Caenorhabditis elegans: one gene and its partner. The protein of the gene in region 2 purifies or fractionates together with the protein of the main gene of each other region. This does not show direct contact. Each region holds a gene or a part of one and is shown on either strand. Other genes may lie near its edges.

Region 1 (7,957 bases), on a different chromosome or scaffold from region 2:
TGGAGTGGTTGGCTCTTCCACCTCTTGTTGTACATCAATAGATGATGCTCGAGATCTCTGAAAATAATAATTTTGAAAAAAAATTATGTTTTGGGATCATACCGTCACACTTCTAGACTGTTTACTGGTACCAGCTTCATTAACCGCGGCATTTTTCTTTTTTGGGGTCTTCTGCTTGCTATCATCATCGATCGATTCGGAATTTGCTCTGGATCTAGCCGTTCGTTTGGAAGACCGTGTAGGTGTGGCTGGTTGTTCGATATCTGGAGAGGATGAACGATCTTCTTCATCTTCTTGATTTTCGAATATCGATTTAGGCTTGGTGCCACGCTGAAACGAAAACAAATCAATTTACAATTTATGAATACAACATTTTTAATTCAAAAAAATAATTAAAAATGCTTACAGCTTTACTTCCAACTTTAGGAGATCCTGCATCCTTTTTGGCGGGTCTTCCTCTTTTTGGCGTCGTCGGTGCCGATTTGTCGTCCTGATTAAAGTCGATCGTTTCCGAATTGCCCCTCTTTCTAGAAGTTGTACGTTTGGTAGAAGCAAGTGCAGATGACGATGGGTCAACAGTTGTATTTTTGACAGATGCAGAGCGAGTGCTTCTTGATGCAGGCCGTTCCTCCTCCGCTTCTTCTTCTTCTTCTTCTTGAACTTCCATTGTAACCTCTAGCGGGGATGGCATCTTTTGGATGATCGATTTTTTACCGCGCTGAAAATGTTCGAATAGTTGTATGATTAAACGATTAAACAACGTACAGTTACACTTCCAGCTCTACTAGAAGATGTACTAGCTGCAGCCTTTTTCGTGGGAGTTCTTCCGGTTTTTGGTGTCGATCTTCCATCATCTTCAGACGACTGCTTGCTAACAACCTCAGAAGTTGCCCGAGTCCGACGCCGAGTTGTCATCGCAACCGACGTCTCATCTGGTTCGGCAACAGTATCATTCCTAAGCGATGTGGAGCGAGTTCTTCGTGACGCTGAACGACTTGGAATTTCAGACTCCAAAACAGATTTATTTGCTGCCACTGTCTTCTGGGCTGATGCGGATCGAGTATTTCTCTGGAAATATTGAACTAAATTTTTAAAGAAATCACGAGAGACTTACTGATGGAGGTCTATCTTCCTCGATGAGTTCCTCTGGCTTCTGGTCTTTTACCTTTGATGAAGATTTTTGAACAGATGCCGACCGCGTATTTCTCTAGAAAAATACACATATAAATTTCAAATTTTAAAAACAACTCACGGATGGTGGTCTATCTTCTTCCGTGACTTCTCCTGATTCCGAAGTTTTCTCTTGGTTAGATGATTTTTGAACAGACGCAGAACGAGTGTTTCTCTGAAAACATAAATTTTATTTCTGTCTGTCAAATTGATGACGAAACTGACAGATGGAGGTCTTTCTTCCTCGACAAGTTCTTTCGGATCCCGGTCTTCCACTTGTGAAGTAGACTTCTGGACAGATGATGAGCGAGTGTTTCTCTGAAATATACAATTATTGCCGTTTTTCCTCAAATTTTATTTTATGGTATCTTACAGATGGTGGTCTATCTTCCTCAACAGCTTGTTCTTGAACTTTATCCGCGGTATCTTCATCACCTGTCGGAACTATGTCAGGCTCTTCCTGTAACTCTTCCTGCAGTTTAATAGACGATTCGAGAGATTCGTTTTGAGGCTCTTCCGGAATCACTGGCTGCATAACTTCAGGTTCTGGCTCTTCCTGTCGTTTTTCAGTTTTTTCAGGTTCTTTCGCATCTTGCTGAACTTCTTCAGATTCAACTACCTCTTCTTCATTCACTTCTTCAGATTTACTCTCCAAATCATCGGCTACATCAATCGTTGGTACAGCTTCACAATCCTCATCCATTTGAACCTCGAAAGATCTTTGAACTCCATCCCATATATCTTCATCTTCACCTTCCTCCTCAAGAATACCCGTTTTATCGGTTTGTAAATGACTCAAATATGTCTCATCGGTTGGTGGCATGACGTCATCATCTCGTACTTCAAACGTATCTTCCATGGGAGGAGTTTCCGAACCATTTTCTGTATTTGCAGCTTCTGGAGCAGATGTATCTTCGAGAACCTCGAAATCGTCTTGGTTTTCGAAAGTTTTCTCACTTTCAATGCATTCATCGTTTTCTTGTTCTTGATCTTTTACTTCTTCCATCTCATCCACTACATTTTTCTCTGAATCCTTCTCCTCGTCATGTTTTCCCATAGACCGTGATTTTCTAATAGTCATGGTTTCCTCTTCTTCATCTTCAAGAATTGCAAAGTTCAATGCAAGGCCTTTCCGACCATTGTCTTCAATACTCTCGTCAGCACCTCTTGGAACGTCAGCACGGAATCGGATACGGCCTCGACTAGCCGATTGGCCACCTTTAGCTGTTTTCAGAATACTGTTGTGAGCAGAGACTGGCGGCGGTCTGTTTCCAGCGGGCGATAGAAATCCATCTTGAACATTTTCCTCCTCATTATGTCGCTTGTAATACCGTGCCGGTGTTGCAATCATCATATTGATTTCTGCATTTTGGTGAGAATCCGGACTTGTGATACTGTTGATACTCGAATTGTTGGCAACAGATTCGACGGCACTCTTCCACTGTTGAATTCTCTTCGCGGTCTGTAAATTTCAGAATCTTGGTTTGTACTATTTAACTGCAATAATCTTACAGGTGGCACATATTGTGATGACGAAACACTACTCTCATCGTCTTCACCAAACTGACTTGATTTCCGCTTTCTTTCTGTTTTGTCATTGACAGAAGCGAAAACTTCAGGCATATCTTCGTCGTCGTTTTGCACCTTTCTCTCAAACATTTTCTTAACTGAAATTTCGATTTCCTGTTCTTTCGCAGTCTTCTGACGACCTCTTCCATCCTTCTTGATCATTCCTGGCAGGAAAGCCGATAGCAATTTGTTGGAACTAATCGCTTCTGATGACATTGCTTCAAACTTTTCGTTTTCAAAGAGAAACATTTGGTAGAGAATCTCAGATTCCGGATCGAGAACTGGCACTGGAAATTAAAAAAAATTAATTGGAAATGAGACTGAAAATCTATCTCACATCTAACTTTTCCACCTTCCATTTGCATTTTCATTCGTTGTTCAAATCGCTGTAAATCGTGTTTTCCGATTGTCACTGTCATCGGAGCATCTTTTCCCCACAATTTCTCATAACTAATCTCGTCATCTTTCATTGAGAATACTTTCTCTCCAAGTGCTCTCATATCATCCGATGTCTTGCTGCTTGTTAAAGCCTTCTTTCCTTGGTCCAGAATGTAATAAATTTTCTCCAAGTTAACGTTAAGCATTTGATTTGTCATGATTTTGATAGTTTCAAGTGCCAATTGTTTTTCGCTGTGTTCAGAATCTTCAGGAGATGTGGAAATCCAATCAATGACATATTGGACAACGAGTTCTCGTTTAATACTCTCAGAAATCGAAACATTCAGCAGGCATTCCAGCAAATCGAGAGGTGTTGGCGGATACCATTCGTCATGTGGAATATCGTTCCAGAATTGAGCATTTGGAGCTTGACGATTCATTTTTCGAACGACTGATTGAACGGGTAGAGATGATCTGAATAATTTAATCGTATAACTTTTTCTTAAAAAGGATTTTTCTAAACTCACGAGTTCTTTCTCGCCATATTTTTTCTCTTTGAATGTAAATCCTTCATTCTTTGCTGTCTGATCGGGTCTACAGGAATGATGGCAAAATTGATGAATTGGCTGGTAAGTTTCGTATGGTTTCTCATACATATCACAGAATGGGCCAAATTGCGAAGTCGATCATCTTTTAACGCTTTTGAACAGGCTTTCAGATATTCGTAAACAACTCGGAAAAGCTTGATTCCCTGTGCAATAGATTCTTCTGCTAGTGGAGAGAGAGCAAGTGATCTTCCCTGGAAGAGTGAAACCATCTTGTCAGAAATAGTTCTCTTGTAGTCAACAGCTTCGTGAAGTGCCCATTCTGCTAATTCCCGTTTTAGCGTGTCACTAATGTCAGGACGAGATGCCAATTGACAAAACTCTTCAATTTTTCCGTAGTAGACGATAACGTTGAGAAGAACCTTTTGATCAGACGATAATTGAAGTTCGTTTATTTCTGCGGCGCTCTGAAAACAATTTCATCAATTTAACTTTAAAAAATAAGCTCACCGAATTGGGAGATCCAGACAGAATATTTTTTCTCACTAAACCAGCTGCCATAACAACGCTGGAAATCATTTCGGGATTCCTGATGAGAGCAGGCAGTTTGACGGCGCATTTGTTCAAAATCTGAAAAAAAAACCGGAATAAAAACAATCTCAATGCCGATAAATTTACCGTGTCCTGGATGTTCTGGATCTTCATCCAGTCAATTCTGGTATTCTTGGCAACAAAAACCCTTTCGAAGCTTAATGCTGACGGATAAAACAGTTGATCTGCGTCTGAAACCATGCTAGAGAAGCTGGATACATCAGTGGCCTCATTTGTAAGAATTCCGATGTCATTTACATCTTCTGATCGGATGTTAGACTTTATAGTTGATAAGAATGCACATTGCTTGAGAACAGTTCCATCTGTAGATACTCGACCGGGAACTCTTTTGTAGTACCATGAATCTATATCAAAAATAGCTGCTTCCACAATGTATTCTGGTTCAGCATTCGGGTCTTCTGTGCCGATCACCATCTTCTTTCGTTCGTATGCCAAAAGAACAGAGTTTCGATTAGAAGTTGATCCGAATGTCTGAGAAACATTGTGCATCGAATCTTCCGTTCCTCGCTTTCTTGTGAGCATCATATGATCTCTTTCAGTAACAATAGGATTCACAGCCAACCATCTTTCTCCGAACAAAATCTTATGTTCTAGACAAACACTGAATGATGGACGGTCGTACTTTTCTTCTCCATCAACATCCTCGAGAGTTTTGAAAGATCCACGCCAAAGTTGAATCATGATTGGATGACGAGGTGAACAATCAACAGTGGCGATGAAATACTCAAATTTGTCGGGATCATCTTCTGGTTCTAATGGAGCAATTTTTCTGACAAGTCGTTCGTGTCTCAATTCCAAAAGCATCATCTGATTTGAAGGATTCAATGAAGCTGCCAGAATGCCTCCCATCGATAAACCGACAAGAAGAGTTCGACTTCTTGGCATCAACGATAACGCTGAGATATACACGGCGGCGGTTGGGTATTCACGATATGCTCCATCGTCCAAAGTGTACTGAAGAACTGAACCGCTGACGTAAGCATCTGAAACACACTAATCAAATTTGTTTAATCTTCGGGAAACTTACTCATTAGGTTGATCAAATACTTTTTCTCACTGTGAACTGTGATGACAGGACTTGACGGCGTCTCAACAGCAACTAAACGAGCTAAGTAGCATTGTGTCTCCTTGCAACCTGGAATGTAAATTTGCAAAGTTTTCATTCAAATTTGATTTATTACCAATTGCCACAATATGCTGCCACGTCATCAGTCGATGATAGAGCTTTAAAACTGTTCTCTGTGTTTCATCAGCCATGTCGGCAGACGAAAAAAGCGTCTTCACAACTGTAATTTTCGATGGAACTTCCAGTGAGTGTGTGATTGTCATGGCTGGTGAATCCGGATCAACTGCCAATGCAAGAACAAAGTGCTCGGCACCGCACGACTGACGAGGATCTTCAACACCAACAAGAATTCCGAGCTTTCCTTCTGTAAATAAAATATTTTGAAATCAATAAAGAAAATATGATAGTAATAAAAAACTTACCTTCTGTTGGAAAATAGTCCGCATCGATCAAAGCACATCCTTCAGGGAAAACGAACGAGTGAGTTACGCGTTCCCATTCGATATCGAATATTTGACACGTATTCTTTTTAAAATTCACAATGTAGGGAAGTTGACGACCTGAATGAATAGAATAATGTTGAATCGATAGAAATATGAAATACCAATTGAATCCTTCAAAATAATTTGCTTTTCTCCCCTCCAACACTCGTATCCTTGATATGATTTGAAAATGGACGAATTTTCATTATCCATTCTGAAAAAAAATAAACCTTTGCACATCGCAGCTAATAAATAACATTTAAAGAAGTGAGACAAAGAAATTATCAATTAAAATAAGTGGTTTTAGAAGTGCGTAGCTTAAAATAAGGGCTCGTCCGACTACATTCAAACGACCGGGAAAATTTGTTTTCACCAATACGCAAACACCGCAACGGAAACATACGGACTGCGAAAACAAGCGAAAATGGAAAATGCTTGCAAAGGTTAGAAGACGCAACGAAGAATGTAGAAATTGAATGGAATTCTTAAATGAAAAAAATCAATTTGAATGATTTAAATTGGAATATAATCCATATTACATCATTATCTTAAGAGAAGCACATACTTAAAATGACGTAAACCAACTTTTTAGCATTTTCAAATGACTTCTAAAAAATTAATGGAAACCCTTAAGAAACATACATTTTTTGGAGCAACGAGCGTAAAGACTGTTTTACTCAAGAAATGATAAAATGATAGGCGCATCGCGAAACCTTGTATTTTTTGAAGAAAAACCTTGTTTATTGAGTGAATAAAATTTGACTAATTGTAAAGGAACTTTTTACGAGAAATTCTTCGAAAACAAAATTAACCATCCGCGAAAAAAAAACAAACAAAAAGGAACCCAAAACAGGATGCAGGGGCGGGACCTATTCGCAGCCACCGCACACTTTTTTCGCAAGCCTCGCACGTTTTTTCTTTTGAAAAATGCAACAATATCATGGAAAAACGTGCGAGGCTTGCGAAAAAAGTGTGCGGTGGTTGCGAAATAGGCCCCGCCCCTACTCACGCGTGGCCACGTGGCACACGGCACACGTAGCGATTGAAATAAACAAATTATAACTTAAATTAGTTTGTGAAATCGGTTTCTCTCCGACACACGCGTCACTCAAAAATGCGTATTTTGCGTATTTTGTTTTCATTGGTAATCTTCGGATTAATAGTTCATGTATTGGTGAGTTGCCTAGACATCCTTCGATTTTTCTAGACCATAATGTTTCACCATTTTTCAGCCAACAACCACCACACCAAATGTGCCTGTTTCCGCCGCTACGAACACTTCAAACGTGACCGCTCCTGCCGGCAATTCGGCAAAAAGTCCTAATGCGACCGCTCCTGCCGGCAATCCGACGAAAAATGTAAACGTGACCGCTCCTGCCGCCAATACGACGCAGCTTGCTCTTGTGAGCTCGGCGAGCCCTCAAACCTGCAAAAATGGAAACGGCACACACTGCCCGTCATGTGCATACACGATCAATGTTCACAAGGACACGCCGAAGTACATCGGATATGGCATCCTGATCGCCTTCGTCATTTTCCACATTTTTTTGTATTTCTACCTCGAGGATCAGAAGGCGAGGGTAAGTGAAATTTTGCCAGTGGCCTAGCTTTTTATTGATTTAAGTTATATTTAATGAAAAGCGAATTGCGTACTACACGTGGACAACTTTCAACATACGAAACCTTCTTTTCAGGAGCAGAAGAAATATTTTGAGGAGCTCATCGCTGAGCAGATGGCGGCTAGGAAGCGAGAAGAACAAGACGATCAGCAGCACGAGGATGAGGAGAAGGAACGCCGAGAGCGGTTGGCTTATGGAATTGCCGCGAATCCGGTACGTTTTATTATCGATTTTTTTGCAACGTGGCCTAGAAAAAGCGAGAGCTCGGCCAAGATCTTTGAAGGTGGCCGAGTTTTCGCATTTCGCGGCCACGACGTAAAAACGGAATTATTAGCATTGAAAGAGAATTGAAAAAACGCAGTTTTAAATTTCAGTATGTGGTAGCAGAGAGCAAGACTCCCAATGGAAACGTCACAAAAGTGATGGAGAAACGACGATCCGCGGTGGCCCCGCCCATCACACCAGCCCTCGGAGCAGGCTCGACCAACGGACCATACGAGAGTCGGACCAAGACCG
Region 2 (4,817 bases):
AATGGAAAATGCTGCAGGAAAATTCAATTTTTCGGAAAAATTGCTTAAAATCTAAATATTTCAGGTAATCATTTACTATATATAAAGCGCTTATTCCGTTTGTCCATAGTTTGTAGTCTATGTAGTCTTTGTATTCTGTGACGTTTTGGCTTCTGGAGGATAGTGAGTTGGGCTTAGTGTAGGGATATAGTCGGGGTACTGTAGTGGTACAATAGTGGTACGGTAGGAGTACTGTATGATTACGGTAGTTTCAGAAAAATTAGTTTTCAGCCCCAGAAGTCGGGGGCTGCGCCGAAGGTGCGGTCCACGGCTGGTTTACAATAAATTTTTATTTTTTTAAGTGAAAAATTGCTTTTAAAAAAAGTGATTTTTTATGTAAATTGCAAGAAAAATATTTTTTAGAAGAACAAATGCTGAAAATCTGGATTTTTGGGTGAATTTCTAAAAAAATTGATTTTTCGTGAAAAAAAAAAGGGTGAATTAGTTTTTTTCCATAAAAAAATGCTGAAAATTGAAACCTTTCGGGTTATTTTGAAGAAAATTGTATTCTTTTTTTGTGAAAAATCGCTGAAAATCGGGGTTTTTTGGGTGAATTTTCATAAAAATTAGATTTTTTTTCGATGAAAAATAGCTGAAAATCGGGGCTTTTCGGGATAATTTCAGGAAAATATTTTATTTTTTGAGTGAAAAAAATTAGAAGACGATTTTTTATAAAAATTGCAAGAAAAATGATTTTTAGTATTTAGGAAAAATGCTAAAATTCTGGATTTTTGGGATAATTATTTGTTTTGTGTTTAGGTGAAAATTGCTATCAATCGAGATTTTTTGTGTAAATTGCAAGAAATCTACTTTTTTCTACTTTTTTTGGTGAAAAATCACTGAAAATTTGAATTTTTTGAATAATTAGCAAGAAAATGATTTTTTAAATGAAAAATAGCTAAAAATCGTGATTTTTTAAAAATGTAATTAGCAAAAATCATTCTTAAAGGAAGAAAAATCACTGAAAATCCCGATTTTTTGGATGAATTTCCATGAAAATCTCATTTTTTTGCTAAATTTTCCAAAATCCATACGCGATATCGAACCAAACATCAACATCAATTTGCTGCTCGACTTTATTCGTTTCTTCCGGCTCTTTTTGCAAATTTTCAATGAACAATTCCTTCATTTCCATAATTCTTTCTCTGGATTTCGACGATTTCCACGGCAATTTTCCATGTGTCCAATCGTAGAGCACATAGAGCATCATTTCCATCATATCCAATTCAGTCATTCGATGAGATTGATCTCGATCGACAAAAGAGCGCGGCGCGTAGATCAAATCTCCGGTTTTCCAATGCAAATCTATAGATTCGGCTGTTCTGAGATGAATCTCGTCGATGGCACGGTGACGTTTGTCAGAGGAGACGGTGATCTGCAAATTTTTGGAATTTTAGTATGAGAAAAATCGATTTTTAACGAGAATCTGGGGTTTTAAATGCATAAATTGTTTATTTTAAGAGTCTGAAACCGAAATTTCTTCCAAGAAATCAAAAATTTGATTAATAAAAAAATAAAATCGAAAAAATAAACTCGAATTTCGACTGAAAATTGCGATTTTTAGTTTTTTTCAGTAGAAATTGTTTTTTTTTGACGAAGTATATGTTTTTAATAATTTTTCTAAAGAAACTCGCTGTTTTGCGGAGTTTTTGAAACCAACAATGTTGATTTTCAGACGATTCTGGGACTTTTATTCATTTTTCCCAAAAATTTCAAATTTTTATGGGGTTATTCAAGTAATGTAGCAAAATGTATTTAAATACATTTGTGACGTCACAAATGTATTTAAATACATGTTTTTATCTACTTGAATAAGGTTGTGACGTAATTTTTCTACACTTTTTAATTTTCCGACACTACTTGAATAACCCCATTAGGTAAAAATTGCTGGAAATTGAGATTTTTCGGGCAAATTTCAAGAAAAATAACTGAAAATTGGTTTTTTGTGGATTTACCGAGAAAATACGTTTTTTATGTGAAAACATTGCTAAAAATCACAGATTTTTGTATAATACGAAGAAAATACGCTTTTTCGGTGAAAATTGCTGAAAATTTAGATTTTTCGGGCGAATTTCAGGAAAATTACTGAAAATCGGGGTTTCTTGTTGTATAAATCCAAAAAATTAAGTTTTTTATGTGAAAACATTGCTAAAAATCGGCGATTTTTGTACAATTCCAAGAAAATACGCTTTTCAGGTGAAAAAATGCTGGAAATCGAGATTTTTTAGGTGAATTTTTAAGAAAATTGGTTTTTTCGTGTAATTCCGAAAAAATGCGTTTTCTAGGTGAAAAGTTGCTGAAAATCGCGATTTTTCTTGCAATTTTTTAGTGGAAATTGTTATTTTAAAAGCGGAAACATAGTCCGTACATCAGTAGCATCGGCCAAATAAAACTGCCTCGTTTTGATATCCAACATCCATTGTTTCGAGTCGAAATTTCTCAAAACCCATCCGGAAGCTGACAGAATTTCGATAGCAGAAATCATGTCGACAGCGAGGAAACTGGCAGTAGTTACGGACATTTTATCACTGCTCAGACATTTTAAAAGATCATGTAAAGTGGGTCCTGCACGGATTCTGACGACCATGAAGAAGACGTGATTATTTATGATTCCGGCATCAATTAAAGCGGAAAATCGATGAGAATAGCCAAGTGACGATTGCTGATGATAGAAATCTACTTGATTCGCGATGGTTGTCACGTTGTCCTCGCCGATTTCCAAGTAAAGAATCCCCTGAAAATTCGAATAATAATTTTTTTTTTACTTTTTTTTTTTTTAAATTTAATTTTTTTTAATAACTCACAAATTTCTTGCACGGCTTGTCACACACAAGATAACAATACGCGGCTCCTCGTTTCTCCTTTTTCTCCAAAATAATCCATTTACCATTAAAAAGCTTTTGCTCCTTCAGACCTGCCAAGTCCTCATCGGTGAATCGATGCTCAATGTTTTCTAAATCGTGTCCTTTGCGATTTCTGTTCATTTTTTACCTGAAAAGTTGATAAACTCACAAGAAAAATGGTGAAAAACAAGTAAATTTAGGCAGGAAAAACGAAAATTTAAATATTTAAATTTAAAATTCGCTGCCATCGAGAAAAGCGCAAGCAACACGAGAAACGCGCTAGCAGTGGTAGCTGACGCAACTTTCGTTATTGACGATTAATTTCAAAAACATGTTTTAAAACAATTAAAAATGATTTATTTTGAGGAAAAAACACACAAAAAAAATGCTTTTGAAGAAAAAAACATAAAAATTAAGAGCTTTCCTCGGTCAAACTGGAGAAAGAAGCCACCAAATTGGCGTTTTCATCTAAAATCTGCCGTTTCTTCCCAGTTTTCTTCAACAACATTTCAAGCTCTTCCAGCATCTTCTTCTGCTCCTGCTCCATTCGTTTCTCCTCTTCAACACGTTCGCCAAGCGATTTGCGTTGCTCTTTGAGCATTTCCACAACTTTTTCGATTTCAGCGCTTTTATCATTCCAATATTCGCATTTCTCCTCCTCTCTGTCACAATCCAGCTTCAAATCTTTGAGTTGTTGCTGAAAATGTTTCAATATTGCTTTAAACATTTTCAGATTTATTAATAAAAACCTTGTGCAAGTGGCGACGATAGTCGATTTCCTCCCGCATTCTCTGAACAATCACTCGCTTTTCCGCGAGTAAATCCAGACTTTCTTGAATTTCAGCAGAAAGTGTCGCGGATATTTCCATCGTTGTGCCCATCTTAGCCTTTTTCAGCTTCACCTGAACAAAAAATTGCATATAATATTAGTTTTCGCCATATCTTACGCGCATGGTCTCGTCACGCGGACAAAAGGTTACTTTTCATTGTGATAATTCACGGGTCGCTATTACAAAAACACTAAATGCTGAGAATGCGTATTATGCAACATATCTGACGGGCAAAGTATCTCGTAGCGAAAACTACAGTAATTCTTTAAATGACTACTGTAGCACGGATGTCGATTTACGGGCTTTTTTTTATTTTCGGAAACATTTCTCGGAAAATTCGGAAGTTTTTTTTGATTTTCAGAATCGGACCAGCGCTACAGTAGTCATTTAACGAATTACTGTAGTTTTCGCTACGGGATATTTTGCGCGTCAGATACGTTGCGCAATACCCATTCTCAAAATTTAGTGGTTCTTTTTATAGGTTAGTGCCCGTAAATCGACACGAGTTACAGTACCTCGTTCACAGCGTGGTGAGACCCACATAATTTTTTGACGACTATGTAATACCTCATTCATCATCTCCGACAAATGCTGAGCCCAGGCGGTGACGCGACACGAGATGTCCGATTCGCGACGTCTCGCCTTATCCACGCGATCCCAAAGTTCGGTGACCTGCGACTGAACGACATCGATCCGATTGCTCAGTTGCAGCTTCTTCTCCATTTCCAGCTCGAGCTTGTGCTCCAGAAGGCGACAACATTCGTCGACATCGTGCTCGTATTCGGCGACCGATTCGCTCTGAAAAAAAATCACTTGAACTTTTTCCGAATAGAAATTTCGCGCGGAACCCACCGTAATCGACGTTGTCAGGGTCAACTTCTCGCGAATCACTTTGATATCCATTTATCGATTGATTTTTCGGAGAAAAATATTCGGAAATAAATTCAAATGTCGAATAGGTTCCACATTTGCCACGAGAAATTTGAATTCTATGGAATATTTTAAAATCAAAATTTTGAATGTTCACGCTGGTAATTAATTGATTTAATAAAAGTATAAAACTTGATTTTCAAGCTCTCTGATCCGTGTACTCCCCGAGGAGAAG

What was found. Proteins that work in one complex are often made in the same cells at the same time.
Region 1: the proteins of prde-1 (region 2) and mel-28 purify together in Caenorhabditis elegans (affinity purification with mass spectrometry, with the first as the bait; one study listed by BioGRID). This does not show direct contact.

Annotation. Positions count from the first base shown.
Region 1 is NC_003281.10:4,784,159-4,792,115, reverse strand, and holds the start of mel-28 (Protein mel-28), read right to left. Parts: upstream 6,037-7,957; 5' UTR 6,036-6,036; coding exon 5,945-6,035; intron 5,901-5,944; coding exon 5,763-5,900; intron 5,705-5,762; coding exon 5,456-5,704; intron 5,410-5,455; coding exon 5,302-5,409; intron 5,258-5,301; coding exon 4,341-5,257; intron 4,293-4,340; coding exon 4,173-4,292; intron 4,130-4,172; coding exon 3,645-4,129; intron 3,592-3,644; coding exon 3,077-3,591; intron 3,027-3,076; coding exon 2,683-3,026; intron 2,633-2,682; coding exon 1,544-2,632; intron 1,489-1,543; coding exon 1,396-1,488; intron 1,346-1,395; coding exon 1,253-1,345; intron 1,208-1,252; coding exon 1,115-1,207; intron 1,069-1,114; coding exon 766-1,068; intron 719-765; coding exon 407-718; intron 331-406; coding exon 103-330; intron 58-102; coding exon 1-57. Other genes in the region: enu-3.2 (ENhancer of Uncoordination), read left to right, coding at 6,937-6,996, 7,055-7,402, 7,517-7,654, 7,816-7,957. UniProt on the Caenorhabditis elegans protein: Nuclear envelope protein which has essential roles in assembly of nuclear pore complexes and in chromatin maintenance during the cell cycle. Appears to be a stable structural component of the nuclear envelope during interphase.
Region 2 is NC_003283.11:15,536,464-15,541,280, reverse strand, and holds the start of prde-1 (piRNA biogenesis factor prde-1), read right to left. Parts: upstream 3,038-4,817; 5' UTR 3,024-3,037; coding exon 2,844-3,023; intron 2,774-2,843; coding exon 2,408-2,773; intron 1,415-2,407; coding exon 1,074-1,414; intron 1-1,073. Other genes in the region: F21A3.4 (Trichohyalin-like), read right to left, coding at 3,295-3,579, 3,632-3,784, 4,280-4,510, 4,565-4,615. UniProt on the Caenorhabditis elegans protein: Nuclear factor required for the production of piwi-interacting RNA (piRNA) precursors. Specifically required for piRNAs produced from loci associated with the Ruby motif. Promotes binding of the transcription factor snpc-4 at piRNA genomic clusters.